Linked DNA regions of Arabidopsis thaliana. The protein of the gene in region 1 interacts with the protein of each later gene in a pairwise test. Each region holds a gene or a part of one and is shown in the gene's direction. Other genes may lie near its edges.

Evidence for each region.
Region 2: the proteins of CNGC18 (region 1) and AT2G18480 interact in a protein complementation assay, tested with the Arabidopsis thaliana proteins (one large-scale study listed by BioGRID).
Region 3: the proteins of CNGC18 (region 1) and LAX3 interact in a protein complementation assay, tested with the Arabidopsis thaliana proteins (one large-scale study listed by BioGRID).
Region 4: the proteins of CNGC18 (region 1) and MLO7 interact in a protein complementation assay, tested with the Arabidopsis thaliana proteins (one large-scale study listed by BioGRID).

What each region holds. Positions count from the first base shown.
Region 1 is NC_003076.8:4,807,562-4,812,745, reverse strand, and holds CNGC18 (cyclic nucleotide-gated channel 18), read left to right. Parts: upstream 1-1,652; 5' UTR 1,653-1,848; coding exon 1,849-2,313; intron 2,314-2,474; coding exon 2,475-2,687; intron 2,688-2,771; coding exon 2,772-3,082; intron 3,083-3,158; coding exon 3,159-3,270; intron 3,271-3,373; coding exon 3,374-3,610; intron 3,611-3,695; coding exon 3,696-4,478; 3' UTR 4,479-4,655; downstream 4,656-5,184. Other genes in the region: AT5G14860 (UDP-Glycosyltransferase superfamily protein), read right to left, coding at 4,987-5,178. UniProt on the Arabidopsis thaliana protein: Cyclic nucleotide-gated ion channel required for directional pollen tube growth into the transmitting tract. Acts as a Ca(2+)-permeable divalent cation-selective channel inhibited by either lanthanum or gadolinium.
Region 2 is NC_003071.7:8,008,577-8,013,254, reverse strand, and holds AT2G18480 (Major facilitator superfamily protein), read left to right. Parts: upstream 1-1,977; 5' UTR 1,978-2,011; coding exon 2,012-2,126; intron 2,127-2,261; coding exon 2,262-3,673; 3' UTR 3,674-4,154; downstream 4,155-4,678. UniProt on the Arabidopsis thaliana protein: Plasma membrane sugar-proton symporter.
Region 3 is NC_003070.9:29,199,906-29,205,227, reverse strand, and holds LAX3 (uncharacterized protein), read left to right. Parts: upstream 1-1,809; 5' UTR 1,810-1,910; coding exon 1,911-2,081; intron 2,082-2,163; coding exon 2,164-2,349; intron 2,350-2,452; coding exon 2,453-2,565; intron 2,566-2,648; coding exon 2,649-2,832; intron 2,833-2,932; coding exon 2,933-3,030; intron 3,031-3,119; coding exon 3,120-3,585; intron 3,586-3,801; coding exon 3,802-3,996; 3' UTR 3,997-4,811; downstream 4,812-5,322. Other genes in the region: AT1G77700 (Pathogenesis-related thaumatin superfamily protein), read right to left, coding at 1-80, 406-481. UniProt on the Arabidopsis thaliana protein: Carrier protein involved in proton-driven auxin influx.
Region 4 is NC_003071.7:7,566,178-7,571,412, forward strand, and holds MLO7 (Seven transmembrane MLO family protein), read left to right. Parts: upstream 1-1,840; coding exon 1,841-2,032; intron 2,033-2,122; coding exon 2,123-2,180; intron 2,181-2,253; coding exon 2,254-2,570; intron 2,571-2,650; coding exon 2,651-2,711; intron 2,712-2,794; coding exon 2,795-2,883; intron 2,884-2,970; coding exon 2,971-3,045; intron 3,046-3,130; coding exon 3,131-3,219; intron 3,220-3,313; coding exon 3,314-3,363; intron 3,364-3,431; coding exon 3,432-3,472; intron 3,473-3,540; coding exon 3,541-3,714; intron 3,715-3,837; coding exon 3,838-3,873; intron 3,874-3,948; coding exon 3,949-4,016; intron 4,017-4,103; coding exon 4,104-4,164; intron 4,165-4,263; coding exon 4,264-4,581; 3' UTR 4,582-4,735; downstream 4,736-5,235. Other genes in the region: NTRA (NADPH-dependent thioredoxin reductase A), read left to right, coding at 1-42; PIRL5 (plant intracellular ras group-related LRR 5), read left to right, coding at 5,154-5,235.

The sequences.
Region 1 (5,184 bases):
GTGTGTTTCATAAACACCAGCGACTTTATTGAAAAGAGGAACACGTAAATTGTATTCTCAAAGAACAATTTTTTTAGGAAGAGTAACATTTGTTTTCCTTATCTTAATATAAGCAACGAAATCAATCGTGCATATAAAAGTGAAATGCTATTTTGAATTTTCTAAACTTGACTAGCAAATTTTCACTAAAAAATAAAATTAAAAAGTAACGATAAAGTAGTTGTCGTATAGTCTACTCCACATGAATAAAATAATAAAGTAAATCAATAGAATGTAAATCTCTTAATTAATCATACTTATTATATAATCACAGTGGCAAAGTGGAATAAAAAAAAAAGAGGAGAATTGGATCCCGTCGGATTCTATATTTAAAGATCGCTAAACATCTCAAATCTGCCACACGTGGTCATACTTAATAGCAGCCATTAACGAAGTAATAAATTAGTCGATAATAATGTTTAACCAACATCGTATTTCTAGATCCATGAATTAGTTGGAGTAATTAACATCATTGTTTCTTAATTACGTTTAACAAGCATAGAGAAAACAATATTGTCACATATGTTAGTATAAGTTATCATAATCATTTATAAAAGCTTGTTATTAATTTTTTATATTGAAATTACTACTTTGTGTCTAATCGGAAAATGATGGAGTACTAAAATTTGAAGGACTAAAATACGTCATTATTGTTAGAGAAAACAATTACGCATAAGTGTGATTTTTTGGAAGTGGAAAAGTTAGTATGTCCCTCTATATGATATGATGGAAGTTGTTGTTCTTTTTGTGTGGATAAACATCATTTTTCCGTGACGTAATTTTTAATTTCAGTATTCATTTTATTATTCTCACTTCTTATTATCCCTTTTATATTCGCATAATTGTTTCTAAGGATTTCTATTCCCTTTTTGTTATTTTATAGGTACACTATCTTATGGATGGTGTCAACAAGCATGTACACTATCTTCCCACTACCACATATTGTCACAGAATGTTTGGTACGCGTGCTTCTATATACTTTTAATAGTACATAACAACAACAAATGAATTATGTAAGACAATTTGTTAAACTGATGTCAAAAACGGAAATACTACAAAAGACAGTATAATTGAATTACGGGTTTAATGTGTTGACAAAATATAATAAATGTAGCTCATAAAACTTCAATAATTCACTTAAATAAATTCTAATGAACCTCATAACGAATTAGATATTTTAACTAATCTTATCATGGTTTTACGAATTAATTATAATTTTTTTTTTTATTCTTTGAACAATTGAACTAAACAATATTAAACCGGACTTTAAGTTAAAACTACTAAAAACATTATTAGTTTATCAATAGAAATGATCATAGCAATTGTATACATTATAATGTGTAATTTTAAAATCCTAAAGCATATATAGTATATATCCCTTTGATTTTCATAGAAAAAAAGTAGAAAAAAATAACTATTGGGCCGATCTATAACTATTGGGCCGGTGGGTCCAACAACTAAGAACAGTAGATATTGTGTCGATTGAAGTTTTGAGATGCAAAACGTGTGCTGTTTTGAGAACACAAAAACAGCATAAACAAACGAGACCCGCAACTATAACATTCCGTAAATACCCTCATTCTCCCATCATATTTTCAAAAACTACCCTTCCCCCTATTTCCATGGCCCTTCTCTCAGTTTTCCCGCGAGAAATCCTCTCCTTCTTCCATAATCATCAAAAACAAAATGCAAAAACCCAAAAAAACAAAAAATCACACGACGCAACCACCTAGCCTCTCTGTCCATCAATCTCAATCTCTCTCTGTGTTAATGCGGAATCCGATTTAACACCGGAATCCGCCATGGAAGATGAATAAAATCCGGTCTCTCCGCTGCCTCCTCCCGGAGACCATAACCTCCGCCTCCACCGCCGCCTCAAATCGAGGATCTGACGGTAGCCAATTCAGCGTCCTATGGCGGCATCAGATCCTGGACCCGGACAGCAACATCGTCACCTATTGGAACCACGTCTTTCTCATTACCTCAATCCTCGCTCTCTTCCTCGATCCTTTCTATTTCTACGTCCCTTACGTCGGTGGTCCGGCGTGTCTCTCCATCGACATCAGCCTCGCCGCTACTGTCACTTTCTTCCGTACAGTCGCCGATATCTTCCACCTCTTGCACATTTTCATGAAATTCAGAACTGCGTTCGTCGCGAGGAGTTCTCGTGTTTTTGGTCGCGGTGAGCTTGTTATGGATTCTAGAGAGATTGCTATGAGATACTTGAAGACAGATTTCCTCATTGATGTCGCCGCCATGCTTCCCCTTCCTCAGGTTCTTAAGATTTTGCTCTTATTTTGAATGTGAAAGCAATGATATGGATTACGATTAGCTAAGATCAATGTTCAAAAATCGTTAGGCGGTAGCTAGAAGATTAAAGAACAGAGATATTTTGGGAGCCTCATGCTTTGTTTCTGACTATCTTTTGATCTCAGCTTGTTATTTGGCTAGTAATTCCAGCGGCCACAAATGGAACTGCTAATCATGCCAATAGCACTCTCGCACTTATCGTTCTTGTTCAATACATTCCAAGATCATTCATCATATTCCCACTCAACCAAAGGATTATCAAAACAACCGGGTTTATCGCCAAGACTGCTTGGGCAGGAGCTGCATACAACCTCCTATTGTACATCCTTGCTAGTCACGTAAGTTTTCTTTATCTTGTGTGTTTTTTCAAATCTTTAGGTTTCTTCAGTTTTAAGTTGCTAAGAATCTCTATTTGTGGGCAGGTGTTAGGAGCAATGTGGTATCTGTCATCAATCGGGCGGCAGTTTTCGTGCTGGTCCAACGTATGCAAGAAAGACAACGCTTTGAGAGTTTTGGATTGTCTTCCTAGCTTCTTGGATTGCAAGAGTTTAGAACAACCAGAGCGCCAGTATTGGCAGAACGTTACTCAGGTCCTTTCTCATTGTGATGCTACAAGCAGCACTACCAATTTCAAATTCGGAATGTTTGCTGAAGCCTTTACCACTCAAGTTGCTACAACAGATTTTGTGTCCAAGTACTTGTATTGTCTTTGGTGGGGTTTAAGAAATCTAAGGTATGACAACCTTTTATCTAACCAGTATCTGCTTAAATTGTCCTCCTTTGGTTTTAATAAAGGTTTTGTTTCACAGTTCTTATGGACAGAATATAACCACAAGTGTATACCTTGGCGAGACCTTGTTCTGTATAACAATTTGTATTTTTGGGTTGATTCTCTTCACACTCCTGATTGGTAACATGCAAGTAAGATTCAGAGCTTATGCATCACTCTGCAAAACTTTTCAATACAGAGACATTTTTTTGTCTTTCTAACAATAGACTTCATGATTTTTAATTTGGTGGAAAGTCTTCTCTGCAATCGATGTCAGTAAGAGTTGAGGAATGGAGAGTTAAGAGAAGAGACACTGAAGAATGGATGAGACATCGTCAACTACCTCCAGAGCTTCAAGAACGTGTCCGAAGATTTGTCCAATACAAATGGCTTGCAACCAGAGGTGTCGATGAAGAATCAATCCTCCATTCATTACCTACAGATTTACGCCGTGAAATCCAACGTCATCTTTGTCTCTCCCTTGTTCGCCGGGTACATACATCAACTCAGTCATCAAAAACTGTTATGGATTTGATTGTTTTTCAATTCAGAAGTCACATTGTTGTGGTAAGTGCAGGTCCCGTTCTTCTCTCAAATGGATGATCAACTTCTTGATGCTATATGCGGATGCCTTGTCTCATCTTTAAGCACGGCCGGGACATACATATTCCGTGAAGGTGATCCGGTGAATGAGATGCTATTTGTGATCCGAGGACAAATAGAGAGCTCAACAACAAATGGAGGAAGATCTGGTTTCTTCAACTCCACTACTCTACGACCTGGCGATTTCTGTGGGGAAGAACTTCTTACATGGGCCTTAATGCCAAACTCTACACTCAATCTTCCGTCTTCAACACGAAGCGTCCGTGCCCTCTCTGAAGTAGAAGCCTTTGCATTAAGCGCAGAGGATCTTAAGTTTGTTGCTCATCAGTTCAAACGTCTTCAAAGCAAAAAGCTTCAACACGCTTTCAGGTACTACTCACATCAATGGAGAGCATGGGGAGCATGTTTTGTCCAATCTGCATGGAGAAGATACAAGCGAAGAAAGCTTGCGAAAGAGCTCAGCCTTCACGAGAGTAGCGGATACTATTACCCGGATGAAACAGGTTACAATGAAGAAGACGAAGAAACTAGAGAGTATTACTATGGAAGTGACGAGGAAGGCGGATCAATGGACAACACAAATCTGGGAGCAACGATCTTAGCATCTAAATTTGCGGCGAACACGAGAAGAGGAACAAATCAAAAGGCTTCAAGTAGTAGTACTGGTAAGAAAGATGGATCTTCCACCAGTTTGAAGATGCCTCAACTATTCAAACCAGATGAGCCTGATTTCTCTATAGATAAAGAAGACGTTTAAAGTGTAGTCATTATGGGCAAAAAACTTTTGTGTGAACTGTTTGGTTTTAGATGGTAAATAGTTAGGAAACTCCCTTAATTATTTCAACTTGTAATTTTTCTTTTCTTTTCGTTTCGGTTTGAGGATGTTAGATATAGAAAACGAGTGTAGAGTAAAAATACATTGTTCTTAAACTGTCTCAATGTTATATAGTCTGATTTCTTCTCATAGTAGATACTACTTTTGCATACAAACTCATTTTTAAGTCTTTCAGAAGAACACTAAGGTGTTGATAGCTTCTTCGGATTGACCAGCCAATATTAACCTCAAAGATAGCAAAAATCTCATAAAGCAACCACTGAATGCAATTGAAATTTTTTGAAACTATAAGACCAAAACCAAGAATTAGAACTCCAAATTAGTCATTCATATCCAATTGAGAAGAATGGACCAACTTTTCAACAAACCTAACATATTTAATGACTAAAATTAGGTACGAAGCCGTTTTGTTATCCAATCCTTAATCTCTCTAAGCATCAGAACTTGACAACTTATTAACACCGTCTGGCTCTCTACTCTTACAAAGCTCTTCCAGAAGCGAATCCAAACTCTTCCAAGACGAACCAGTCCCTTGAGCCATAGCTTTTTTCGCCATTTTCGCATACTCTTTTACATTCTTCATCGTTGTCTTCCCCATCTCTCCCTCCATCAATTGTTTAACCTAAAT
Region 2 (4,678 bases), on another chromosome or scaffold:
GACAATATATGCCTTTTCAATTAAAAGTGAAAAGAAAAAAACGCATGCCATTTACTTGTTTGAGTAAGTTACTCATTATGGTATATGCTCTTCAAGAAAACAAATCAAATACTACTTTTTCGTCACGTATCTTTCTTTTTCAGCTCACCAAAATATAACTTTCAAGGAATCATATCAAAACTTTACTATTTACATGGATTTTGTGCATTTGCATAATTTACGTATACAAATCCCAAAGGTTAGCGTTTTTGCCAACTATATATATAGATACTAGCTAGATGATTATCCAGATTTACTTCTTCTTTTTTAATAATATATATATCGTATATCCATTAAATGTGTAAACCTTTACTTCTAACAGATTTAGAGATCTATAAAACGTATACACTAAGAATTATTTAGAAAAACTAGAAGTTTGAAATAAGTTATTGTCTCTCTAATACACCAATATTGCTTCTTATGTTCATTACAATTTTACAAATGTATGCTTACCAGATTACAAAAGCATGTTGAAAATTCGAAGTTATGATACCAATTTATTAGTAGCGAATGTAAAAAAGACTAAACATAAATTGGACGTAGTCCACCAAGATATATAATGTTATAATTAGCGGGGTAAAATATTGATTTAATACTGGAGGCGTAATAACATCTTGTTTCAGAATTCCAACAACGTACGAGTAAGAAAAACAAAAATACAGTTCTCAACAGACTAATTGGACGTAAAACTCTAGGCCAGCCAAACTGACAAAGCATATGACAAAAATATAAATGATAGAATTGGCAATTTCAGAATTTTCCATCGATCATGCTAAAATGAACATTAGTTGGAACCCAAAAACATTTTTGTTTATCTTGCACATACAAACAGAGCTATAGGTTACGTTATGACTTATGATGTTCTGATTTATTGATCAAATCACACATCAGTTTTTTCCCAACAGATATCAATTTCATTATGTAATGATACATATAGTCTGATAGTATTATTCGTCTGTTGAGAACAACGGCTTTTTGTTGGATACAAGTTTTTTTGTTTCGTCAAAACAAGTTTAATTTTGGACTTCATCACTTCAATAAGAAAAAGAAACCAACTGAAAATAAATGCACCGTATAAATTTAGTTCACCAAATTATATAAATGTGGAAAAGAATCTTTAAAGGTTACGCCACTATTGAACATAGATCAGGAAAATGCCGAAAGTGAAGAAGATGGCGACTTTTAACTTACAATATTAGCAATATTTTTGGTCATATCGTATTAAAATTGATGACCTACCATTTAAAAATGGTGGATATAACTTCTTCTAGCATATGTTACTATAATGAATGATCAATTCTGAATTCTCATACATATGACTTCACAACGGAAACTTTTTGCTTTAGAGTTTCATAAATAGTTTACGACATACAATTTTTCATGCATTCCACTCACGAGAACAACTTTATACGTAACATGCAATTGCAAAACTACAATAATCGGGTTTACATGTAACATAGCATCTAATAAAAATCTTCACTTCCTTTATTAAAAAATAATAAAAATTGAAAACAAGAAGACCAAGTTCAAGTTCAACGAAGGTCGTCACAAATTATTTGAAGACCGTGTGCGAAACCATTTTTTAAACTCATTGTAACCTTTTAATTATTATTTTAACTTACGTATGTATTGGTTAAAACTTAAAACACTTGCCTGATTACACTACTTTTTTTTTTTGTTGGAAATCTTTTCAATTTATTTTGCTCGATATACTTCTCAGGTTGTATACGTCTAAATCTTGAGGAAAATTCATATCTTGCAGAAATATAATTCTCGTACCAGAATACGTGGGCACCCACAAACACTGTGGAACAACAGTAGAAGTTTTTGATCGTCATTGTTCCACTATGGATGCAAGTGGTGGACATATATAGTTATGTGTATATATATACTAGTAAATGCACACAATCGATATAACAAGTTATTCTAAAATTTAACCCAAAAAAAAAAAAAGAGAAGAAAAAGACTCAACATGGTTCATGCTGATGGTCATAATTTTCCCGGTTCGGATCCAAACCCTCATATGAACAAGTTCGCTTTCGGGTGTGCCATTGTTGCTTCCATCATTTCTATCATCTTTGGATATGGTAACATACTAACATTCTCTACATATCAAACAAAAGTTTTCTACATATATCATATAAAGATATATTCAATGGAATTATATTAATGATTTTATATTAACGAATATTTTTTTTTTTGTAATGGTGTGTTGTCCTTAGATACGGGAGTTATGAGCGGAGCTCAGATATTTATAAGAGATGATCTAAAAATAAACGACACTCAGATTGAAGTTTTGGCCGGAATCTTGAATCTTTGTGCACTCGTCGGATCACTAACGGCGGGGAAAACGTCTGACGTCATCGGCCGACGTTACACCATAGCTCTCTCCGCCGTGATATTCTTAGTGGGCTCAGTTCTTATGGGTTACGGCCCAAACTATCCTGTTTTGATGGTCGGACGATGTATTGCCGGAGTTGGTGTAGGGTTTGCTCTCATGATAGCTCCGGTTTACTCTGCCGAGATATCCTCTGCGTCACATAGAGGCTTTCTCACTTCTCTACCTGAGCTTTGTATTAGTCTTGGGATTTTACTAGGCTATGTCTCGAATTACTGTTTTGGGAAACTGACGTTGAAACTTGGATGGAGATTGATGCTTGGAATCGCAGCGTTCCCGTCTTTGATATTGGCTTTTGGGATTACAAGAATGCCCGAGTCGCCGAGGTGGCTTGTGATGCAAGGTAGGTTAGAAGAAGCCAAGAAAATAATGGTTTTGGTATCCAATACGGAAGAAGAAGCTGAAGAACGGTTCAGAGACATCTTAACCGCTGCGGAAGTAGATGTGACAGAGATAAAAGAAGTTGGTGGCGGCGTTAAGAAGAAGAATCACGGTAAAAGTGTTTGGAGGGAGTTGGTGATAAAACCGCGACCTGCGGTGCGTTTGATCTTGATAGCGGCCGTTGGGATACACTTTTTCGAGCATGCGACGGGGATTGAGGCCGTCGTGTTGTACAGCCCGAGAATTTTCAAGAAAGCCGGAGTTGTTTCGAAAGACAAGCTCTTACTAGCCACGGTCGGTGTAGGTTTAACTAAGGCCTTTTTCATAATAATAGCCACTTTCTTGCTCGACAAGGTAGGTCGTAGAAAGCTCCTGTTGACCAGTACGGGTGGGATGGTCTTCGCATTGACCAGTTTAGCGGTTAGTCTCACGATGGTTCAGCGATTTGGGCGGTTAGCGTGGGCATTGAGTTTAAGCATCGTCTCTACGTATGCATTTGTAGCTTTTTTCTCCATAGGGCTTGGACCTATCACATGGGTGTACAGCTCCGAGATATTCCCGTTGAGACTTAGGGCTCAGGGAGCGAGTATAGGTGTTGCGGTTAATAGGATCATGAACGCGACGGTCTCAATGAGTTTTCTGTCGATGACGAAGGCGATCACGACAGGGGGCGTGTTCTTCGTATTCGCCGGAATAGCGGTGGCGGCATGGTGGTTCTTCTTCTTTATGTTGCCGGAGACGAAAGGATTGCCATTGGAGGAGATGGAGAAGCTTTTTGGTGGTGGGGGTCCTCGTGGTGATCGTGACGGACTTGAGATTCAAACTAAAACCATCTCTATTGGGGGTTTCTCATAAGAGTTTCTCACAATTAAAAAAATAAAAATAATAAAAATGAAGGAGAGAGAGTGTAGAAAGATTCTCAGAAACTTTGAGATACTCTCTACAACCCATCATGACAATTCGCTTCTCACTATTGGTTCAACTTTTTAACAAAAATATTTTTTTAATCAAAAATTCAAATTATAATATAATATTAATTTTTTTTTGTTTGAGAAACTTTGTGGGTTTCTCATGGATGGAGATGCCCTTAGAGAGTCAATAATTAGGTTAGATTATCATGGCTATGTAGAATAATTTTTAAATCCAACATGATTTGGCATATCTATTATAAGGTGTGATTTTTTGTAAAGGACAAAGTATGATTTTTATATTCATCCCTTTTTACTGTAGCTAATGAGAATCTACAACCTAATAAAAAACAATAACAATTATTTAATTATAAAATCTAATAGTTCACCAAAACAAAATCATATATCGGTTTGGATTTATAAGAGAGGGTTAAAGTTTAAATTTTATGATTAAACGAAGTTAAATACCAGTTTAGGTTTATAAACGATTTTAGATTTTAGAATCAAACGAGGTTAAATGTCGGTTTAGAGTTATAAACGGGTTTGGATTTTACAATTAGATGAGGTTAAATGTCGGTTTGAGTTTTAGAAAGAACGATTTAAGTTTAGATTTTACAATTAATCGAGTTTAAATGTCGGTTTGGATTTACAAAATAGAATTAGAGTTTAAATTTTGTAATTAAACAAAATTATATATCGGTTTGAGTTTATGAAATAGTGGTTAAGATTATAGATTTTATAATTAAATGAGTTTATTTATTTATTAGGTGACATATTCTAATTGGCTGAAAGAGGTGAATGAAAAGGTGAACCAAGAATTGTTCGATTTTTAACTACACATCTAATTCTAGACTCTAGAGTATGCATATTAATGTTTCCAGAGATCAGAAAGTGCTTAAACAAAACATATTGATCACTTCATGGTTTTTAAGTCTTAGTTTAATTGATGGAA
Region 3 (5,322 bases), on another chromosome or scaffold:
CCGAAACGAATTGGCATCTTTACTAGAAAATATTTTAGGATCAAATGTAATGTTATTTTCTGATCTTGAAGTGAGACTGGCTTTTTAAGGGAGGAAGAAAGAATAACTTGCATGGAGAGTCTATCGGTACAATTATAATAATCGGTTGTAGTACTATATGTGTTTTCAAATAATTAAGGTTCCTTGTTTTGGAATATGGGAAAGAGTTAGTTAGTGTTATTCGTTTCCTGATGTTTCATGCAAGTATTCTTTGGGATGCTGTTAAGGTAATCAAAGTCCAAATGGCCAAGGATCTATACTGTATGTGGCTTTTTATCTGTCTATTTGTATCTTCTATTATTGAATTTGGATAATCTTGTTGATATTGATTATTTTAGCCTTCATGTCATGGGTCAATTCATCTACCTACTGATATATTAGGCCTAATTAATGAATCATATGGCCCATTTATGTCGAACTCAATCTCAATTGTTCGGTCCATTCTTATATTCTGCTTTTTGAATATTACACCATTAATAAATTTGTATAGTCATGATCCTTTTTTTGGTTAAACAGATTTTCTGACGAAGATAAATTGATGAAAATCAAAACAAATCTCACAATCTTTGTCGTTATGGGAACCATCTGTAACCATCCAGTAGAATCGAGTTCCTGGTTTCAAGATGTCAAATTATTTAACTACAATGACTCGCCATTTTTTCAGTATTATTACCAATGATATCTGAATATCTGCTCTATTTAGGGACGACAATATTATATCTTTTGGAGATATCTCAATAGCCTAAATAAGGTTGAATCACAAAAAAAAAAAAAAAAAAAAAAACATTTGAAAATGCATATTTTAATGTCAATTGGCGATGAGTCTTCTTTCCGCTGCCATCCATTTTGGCCGGGTTAAAAAGCTATAAAGATCTAAAATGATGATACCTTCTCATTAATAATTCGATCCATTGTAAAAGTATGGGGCTAAAAAGGAGACATTTCTAAGAAATTAGTGAGTTAAATAAAGCTTAGACAGCTAGACACGTGTGGTAATTATGTTTACCACTAATCCCACCTGATTAGCAATCATTCTTTCCATTGGATCCATCTCCAATCCTCGATTACCTCACAAATCACTATTTCTTCCTCTCTTTTAACCAAGTTTTTCTACTTCTAAATCAAGCGTTTGGATGTGCGATGCCATATGGTAGACAAAGGCATAAATTTATGTAATTTCGAGTTCCAGGTAACAGCTATGTAATATAATCGGACAAAACATAAAAACTTAGAAATATAATTGATTATTCTACATAAAGATCGTTATCATCCTCATCACAAGAAGGAGGAAAGGACCAATATGTTTTATTCATTGTTTCTAGTTGTTACAATCATCATGATTCAAATAATTGTTAATGATAATAATAGTTTAGCCTTTCTTTCAAAAAAAAAAAACATCATTGTCATCACTTCTATTTTCAATTTACAATTAGTCTACTCTCACTACTTTAAACTTTAAAATCTATAATTAGCTAACCCTCTTTTTTTGCATATTATCGGGGTCAATATATAATTAACAATCTCAAACCGGGCCTACCCGTTCGTGTAATGCTCCAGAAATATGGCCCATAAGCCCAACAATCAAATCAAGCCCATTAAAAAAACAACGCCACGCTCGCCGAAAACAGTAACAGTCACAAGTAGGTGACATAACTCAGTCACCAACCAATCATAAACCGATATCCCCATGACAACTCGTGAGCTGTGACTAAAGACTTCGTCCCCCGACACTCGTTACTCAATAATTGCACACAGAGCAAAAGAAAGGAAACAAAACCCATAAAACAAATAAATAAATGAAAAAGCTTTTCACTAGTCTATTTAAAGAGTGGAAGTAAAGAAGCTAAAGAAACTGAGAGAAGAAGAGAAAAATGGCGGCAGAGAAAATAGAGACAGTGGTCGCAGGGAATTACTTAGAAATGGAGAGGGAAGAAGAAAACATAAGTGGTAACAAGAAATCTTCAACTAAAACAAAACTCTCTAATTTCTTCTGGCATGGTGGTTCTGTCTACGATGCTTGGTTTAGTTGTGCTTCAAATCAGGTATGTACTTCCCACAGATTTAGTCTTATATATAGATGTGTATGTATCGTCTTCTATAGCTAAATTGTTATAAAAATGGCAGGTGGCACAAGTTCTGTTGACATTACCATACTCGTTCTCACAACTTGGGATGATGTCGGGAATTTTGTTTCAACTCTTTTATGGATTAATGGGAAGTTGGACTGCTTATCTCATTAGTGTTCTTTACGTTGAATATCGAACTCGTAAAGAACGAGAAAAATTCGATTTCCGTAACCACGTTATTCAGGTTTTATTCCACCTCTAATTCTTGTGACTCGTTATAATTTTTTATTTTTTTGGTGGTATTATTGAATTTTAACTTTTTGTTTTTTTTTGTTTGTGTAAAAAAGTGGTTTGAGGTGTTAGATGGATTGTTGGGGAAACATTGGAGGAACCTTGGATTGATCTTTAACTGCACTTTTCTTCTCTTTGGATCTGTTATTCAGCTCATTGCTTGTGCTAGGTAAATTAATAATCAATGTTCATTTTCTTTATTATATGGTTTTTTCATATTGAAAATTAATTAATATAAAAAATGATTTGCAGCAATATATATTATATTAATGACAAATTGGACAAGAGGACATGGACATACATATTTGGGGCGTGCTGTGCAACAACTGTTTTTATTCCTTCCTTCCACAATTATAGAATTTGGTCATTCCTCGGACTCGCTATGACCACTTACACTTCTTGGTATCTCACCATTGCTTCACTCCTTCATGGCCAGGTCATTATAATTAACACAAATCTTGTTTTGATTATTATAAGATATAGACATATAGTCCTGGTTATTGTTGTTTAATATATTTATTTTTCATATAAAAAAGGCTGAGGATGTGAAACACTCTGGTCCAACCACAATGGTGCTTTACTTCACCGGAGCCACCAACATTCTCTACACCTTTGGTGGCCACGCCGTCACAGTGTAAGTATTTTTTTTTTGTTTGGAAAAATAAAATGGCTTAATTAATGGCTTAACTAATTATGTATTGGAAATTTGAAAAAATATAATAGGGAGATAATGCACGCTATGTGGAAACCGCAAAAGTTCAAGGCGATATATCTACTAGCGACCATATATGTACTAACGCTAACGCTACCATCCGCGTCTGCGGTTTATTGGGCGTTTGGCGATAAGCTACTAACTCATTCCAATGCGCTCTCTCTTCTCCCTAAGACTGGTTTTAGAGATACCGCAGTGATCCTCATGCTCATTCATCAATTTATAACGTTCGGATTCGCGTCTACACCGTTATATTTTGTGTGGGAGAAATTGATAGGTGTGCATGAGACGAAGAGCATGTTCAAAAGAGCCATGGCTAGATTACCCGTGGTTGTACCCATATGGTTCTTAGCCATTATCTTCCCCTTTTTCGGACCAATCAATTCCGCGGTCGGATCTCTCTTAGTTAGCTTCACTGTCTACATCATCCCCGCATTGGCTCATATGCTTACCTTTGCTCCTGCTCCTTCAAGAGAGGTTAGATTTCCAACTTCCAAAATATCTATTTTAAAATTATAATTGTTTCATAAAAAGCTTGTTACAATTTTAGTATAAGTTTACAAAGAATAATTGGAAATAGTATATTATTAGTTTATATTAAAATTATTATATAGTATCATAGATTATGTAAAAATAGCTAAAATAATATTTTGGTATATCTAATTTTTGTTAAGTTTGATATATCGTAAATAGAATGCGGTGGAGAGGCCACCGAGAGTGGTAGGAGGATGGATGGGGACTTACTGCATAAACATATTTGTGGTGGTTTGGGTATTCGTAGTTGGGTTCGGGTTTGGAGGATGGGCAAGTATGGTCAACTTTGTTCGCCAGATCGACACTTTTGGTCTCTTTACCAAATGCTACCAATGCCCTCCTCACAAGCCATGATATACAAATTTGCCATTCAAGACCTTCTAGAAAGAGAGTTTCATATAAGGGGGTTTTGATTTCGAGATCTAATATATATAAGTTACTACATCCAATTTTTTTTTAGTATTTATTAAAAATCACATCTCTTTGTAATTGTTTGACGACAATAATCTTTTACCTCGGGTTTGTTTAATTTGTTATGTTGAGTTATTTTTGGTAAATTGGGTTTTTTTTGTTCCTTAGTTAAGGTGTGATGGCTATCTTAGGCCAACCCTATTATTATTTAGTGTTCTTCTATAGCTCAAGAAAGTTTCATGTGTGTTTTGTGTTTAATGATCTCGTTATTCTCTTTTACTGAGATTTAATTTCATCGTCATTTGAAGTGCACTGAGTTTTTGATGAAAATTGACTATAAATTCTGCGATCAGTCCAAATGAAATGATATGGAAATACATGATTTAAAATCATACAACCTCGTGCATCTATACTCTATAGTAAAATAAATTTATGTGGGTAAGATTATGAGAGTTTTATTTTAGAATACATTAGATTATCTTTGAAGCAATCAAATATTGATCTAAATTAACTTTTTTTCTTCTGAATGTGAGTGATCCCGATCTGAATCCATCATGGGCAAATTAGCATCACATCACAAAAAGGGAAATGAAAGGCGTATCTTTATAAAAGAAGCAAAAGGCAATGGCAGGCTCTGTGTCAGTGTTGTTAGTACATAATTAGGCAGACTTTTTACACCAATTGATTCAATGGTTGGTGCTTGGTAAAGTCAAATAACTGATCAATCACATATGATTATTCGTTTAGTTAGATCATTTTTAAATAAAACCAAAATTGGTTACAAATTTTGATAGATGTATCACAAACAAAACAAAAATAAAGATGAAATAGTAATTCATCGCGATATCATCATTGAATAAAAACAATCAGAGAAGTAAACATATATTAGAAAAAAAACTTAAAGATGCAATAGTCATAGAAAACTCTAAAAGATCATTTAAATGAAACTAGTACTTAATACACTGCTCTTGTTAGTTCATGATTTGAACTAGTTTTCATATGACGTAATTAAGGAACAAGGTAGACAACAACAACAACATAAGCGATATATCGATATAGCTCGTAATAATTAAGTTGGAACAAACTCACTATCATAGTACCATGTCTACCCGAAAACTGACATTTGGGTTGAGTTTGCGAGATGGTTACATTTGACTAACAACTTCATATTATTATTAGGTACTATCGAAAATGAAACCTTTTTGGGGGTCAAAATCCAAAAAAAATGAAAATCAGTTTTTAAAAAAGCATTTAAACTCATAAAAATAT
Region 4 (5,235 bases), on another chromosome or scaffold:
TACTTACAAGAGATTGGATCTCAGGAGGGTAAGAGTGATTGAAGAAGCTGTAGGAGAAGGATCCATGATAAAATCACTCTCTCTCCACCTTATTTGCTTTGCCATTTTTATAACCAATAAAGGATCAGATTGATCTCATACAGACAAATCTGAATAGAATTTTGTTATTTGCATTTGTTTGCAGTTGGATTTTGTGCCAAGTTGTAAACTCTTTAGTTGTCACAGCTTCCACCAAATTCATCTTTTAAGATTTGTTCCTCAGGTGAGAGGACTTTTTCATACTTTAATTCTCTTTTTATTTGATTATGTAATCACAATTAAAAGTGGCATATATGGATTGGAGTTTCTAGAGCTCAAGAAATATACGAAACACTAGATTTTAACCCGCGGTACACCGCGGAACTATTTATTTTATTAAAAGTAACTAAAAATATATTATTTTATAAATTATCTATATGTAACATATTGTTTTGTATTTTATAAATATATAATCCTAATTTCTATATATTGTACAATCCCTTGATTTTATCATGGAATACACCGTAAGTCGATTTTTAAAATTTAAAATTTAAAATTATATATGATTTTTGTTAAGATTGTTTCTTTTGTCATATATTTTAAATTATATCATTGTATTTTAATTGTTAGTTATACGATTTCACCCGTTGTATAACGTGTCGTATTACTATAAACTCAAACCCGTCTGACCATCTTATTCCGTTCAATGAAATTAAACATATTTAATGGATTTCATCCTAGGTATACTGTCTCATATTACTATCAACTCAAACCCGTCCTACCATCTAACCCCGTTCAATAAAATTAAATATTATTTTATTATTTTTGTTTTAATAATACTTTAATTTTAAATATATATAATTCAAATCAATTTCAAACTTTTTATTTTAAATGGTTATTTAATTGTTATAATTTATAAAGTTCATATATTTTAATATTTTAAACCTGTCATACCATCTAATCCTGTTCGGTGAAATTAAACATTATTTTTTAATTTTTTGTTTAAATAATATTTTTATTAAAAGATTTATAATTCAAATAAATTTAAAATGTGTCTTTCAAATAGTTATTTGATTTTTATAGATTTCACATTTAAAATATTTCTCTATATGTAACATATAGTTTTGTATTTTATAAATATTATAAACGTTTTATAAACTTTAAATAATTACAATATTTACCTTTTAATAAAGTATAATATTAATAATCATTTAAATAATCATGTGTAGCTAATTTTAAGGGATTTGATTTAAAGTTTGTTGTTTGGATTAAATTTGAATGAATAATGTGATTGATATATTAAATCAAGAATTAAAAATTAAATCAAATAATTAAGGGAAAAAAAAATAATGCCAATGGCATGCCATTATAAATAAGTGTCAAGTAGAAAATTTATTTGCTAAAATGGTTGCAAAAATATATATGTAGATTGGTTACTTCTTCACCACTATCAATATTTCAACAATGTCCAAATAATCAAAAACATGAACGATTAGCAGTTTCACTAGTTTGTGTTTTTGCAAATATGTACAAGTCAAATGTTCTTAATATGTGTAATTAGGTTTTGCTAATGTAACTTTCATTGATTAAATGAGATGAGTTACAAAACTAAACTACACTGTTCTTTTCATTTTGTCAACACTCAAAGTACTACACCAGTGGTTTTAAATGATACTTTTAATCTCATAAGTCAAACGAAAACCAATTCTTTATCTAATACTATAACTTATGTTATACACGTAGTAATTAAAGAAGCACTAACATAAGTTTGATTCTCTACGTTAGTATCTTCTATGTTTCTCACCTCTCATTTCCTTCACTCATGATCACAAGAAGCAGGTGTCGAAGATCTTTGTTATGGTTTCTAGTGTTCCATGGCGGAGCTACAGCCACCGGAGCTCCCTCTGGTGGGAAAGAGCTTTCTCAGACGCCTACTTGGGCAGTCGCCGTCGTCTGCACCTTTCTCATCCTCATTTCCCATCTCCTTGAAAAGGGTCTTCAAAGACTCGCCAACGTCTGCTTTCTTCTTCTTCTTCTTCTTTTCTTACGAGTGTTCTTGTTCAAACATTCATTGTCTGAAACATATGAATTTGTTTCTTCTCAGTGGCTATGGAAGAAGCATAAAAACTCTCTCCTTGAAGCCTTAGAGAAAATCAAAGCTGGTAAGTGAGCATATAGCCTTGGTTTTCTTAAATCTTTTTGGTTTTGGTTTTTAAATGGTGACTGATTCTACAGAGCTGATGATCCTTGGATTCATTTCTTTATTACTCACTTTTGGAGAACCATATATTCTCAAGATCTGTGTTCCTCGAAAAGCTGCTCTCTCTATGTTACCTTGTTTATCTGAAGACACAGTGCTTTTCCAGAAACTTGCTCCATCATCTCTTAGCAGGCATCTTTTGGCTGCTGGTGATACATCTATTAATTGCAAACAAGGATCTGAGCCACTCATAACATTGAAAGGCTTGCACCAACTTCACATCTTGTTGTTCTTCTTGGCCATCTTTCATATCGTATATAGTTTAATCACCATGATGCTTAGCAGGCTCAAGGTACCATAAATTCTAGTTTTGATCAAAACTTTGTTTGATATAGTGAATAAGTGCTTCATTTTTTGTTGGATTTTTGGCAGATTCGTGGATGGAAAAAGTGGGAGCAAGAGACATTATCTAATGACTATGAGTTTTCTATTGGTACTTTGTTCATCAGATTCTGTTTTGTACCCCTGAACTGAAGTGTTGTTCTTTTACAGACTTACTTCTGTTCTGTGGTGCAGATCATTCAAGACTTAGGCTCACTCATGAGACTTCTTTTGTGAGAGAACATACAAGTTTCTGGACAACAACTCCTTTCTTCTTTTACGTCGTAAAGAAACCATTTCTCTCATTCTTCATCTCTTTCAAATGATCAAAATGATCTTCATTCGATTTATTATATGCTCTTTGGTTACAGGGATGCTTCTTTAGGCAGTTCTTTGTATCTGTTGAAAGAACCGACTACTTGACTCTGCGCCATGGATTCATCTCTGTGAGTTTTTTTTTCTAAATCTTCCATCTCTCCATTTCCTTCTATCTCAATCTTGATATGTGATTTTCGTGATGTTTTGATTCAGGCCCATTTAGCTCCAGGAAGAAAGTTCAACTTCCAGAGATATATCAAAAGATCTCTCGAGGATGATTTCAAGTTGGTAGTTGGAATAAGGTTACAACACAATCAAATCATCAAATGCAAATGAAACCGGTCTTACATAATCCGGTCGTATATAACAGTTTTAACAAATTGTTTTGCTCTGCAGTCCAGTTCTTTGGGCATCATTTGTAATCTTCTTGCTGTTCAATGTTAATGGTGAGCTAAATTTATATCTTTAAATTTAAATTCAATTCACATACTGAAGTCTTTCTATTCAATTCTAGGCTGGAGAACATTGTTTTGGGCATCGATACCTCCTCTACTCGTAAGACAATCTCTCCCTCTAATACATCTTCTTGAAAGTTTCTTGATGAACAATAAGTATTTTTGCAGATAATCCTAGCTGTTGGAACAAAGCTTCAAGCAATTATGGCAACAATGGCGCTAGAAATCGTAGAGACACATGCAGTAGTTCAGGGGATGCCTTTAGTGCAAGGTTCAGATCGATACTTTTGGTTCGACTGTCCTCAACTACTTCTTCATCTTATCCACTTTGCCTTGTTTCAGGTAATTATGAAAACATCTTCTCCTTGATTTCATTCTTGAACTAACATGTTTTCGCAGATTCTGTCTTCTTCTAGTAATGTTTCTCTCTCTAACCGGTAAATTTATTTCCTCTGTGTTATGCAGAATGCTTTCCAGATAACACACTTCTTCTGGATATGGGTAAAGAAACATCTATTCTTACTTTGGTGTTATAGAATGATGTTACTGAGTAACATCTATTACTGGCATTTGCAGTATTCTTTTGGATTAAAATCATGCTTCCATAAAGATTTCAATCTTGTAGTCAGCAAACTCTTTCTATGGTAAAAAGCTTATTCATAAACTTACTTATATTATAGAGGAAAAGTATTTAAAAACATGTGAGGATGTATGTATGTATGTATGTGCAGCCTAGGAGCTTTGATCTTATGCAGCTACATCACTCTCCCATTGTACGCCCTCGTTACTCAGGTAATTAACTTGTAAACAACAGTTTTCGATCGATATTTTAGTCGAATGGTCTATTGAAGGAAAGAAAATAGAGAGATGATGAAATGGTGTGTGGAGCAGATGGGTTCACACATGAAGAAAGCAGTGTTTGATGAGCAAATGGCAAAGGCATTGAAGAAGTGGCACAAAGACATCAAATTGAAGAAAGGTAAAGCGAGGAAGCTCCCGAGCAAGACACTTGGTGTTTCAGAGAGTTTCAGCCTCTCTTCCTCTTCCTCTGCAACCACTCTTCACCGTTCCAAGACCACTGGTCACTCTTCTAACATCATATACTACAAACAAGAAGATGAAGAAGACGAAATGTCTGATCTTGAAGCTGGAGCAGAGGATGCTATTGACAGGATTCAACAACAGGAGATGCAATTCCACAACTCTTAGCTGCTTTAGTTTCTTCTGTTGTTACTTCATAGTTCAAATGAAACGATGCTGTTTACTAACTTAGTCAGGAAACTATTGTCGTACAAGTGTTTCTTTAATGTGTTACTACGTTTAAGCCAATATAGATATCTAATAACTTGTCCTAAACTAAATAACTCGCACTACATGATCATTGTTATTATTAATATAGATTTATTTCGATTTGAAAAATCCTAACACGACATGATCATGTTTTCTTCTTCTCCTTATTATATGTGATCCGTATCAAATACTTAATCATTGTTTACGTCAATGCTTGACATTAACAAAATTATCATTAAGCTAAACAGATAAGGACGCGAGAGATAGAGATAGATAGTGACTAATATTTTTGAATTATTTAATGCAGTTTGAGAGAAAGAGACGAGGAAGAAGAAGAAGAAGAAGAAAGGAAGTGACGAAGAAAGAATGAGAAGACGAAGAAAGAGAAAACAAGATCCGATTCAAAATATGGAAACTTGAATATCTTCTTCTTCTTCTTCCTTCTCCTTTCTCATCTCTCACTTTGAGGGTGAATTTTGATTTTGTAGAAAATGGATTCGAAGGAGATGGTTGTGGAAGAAATCATGAGAATTCACAGATCTCTACCATTGAGACCAGAGATCGACGATGTAG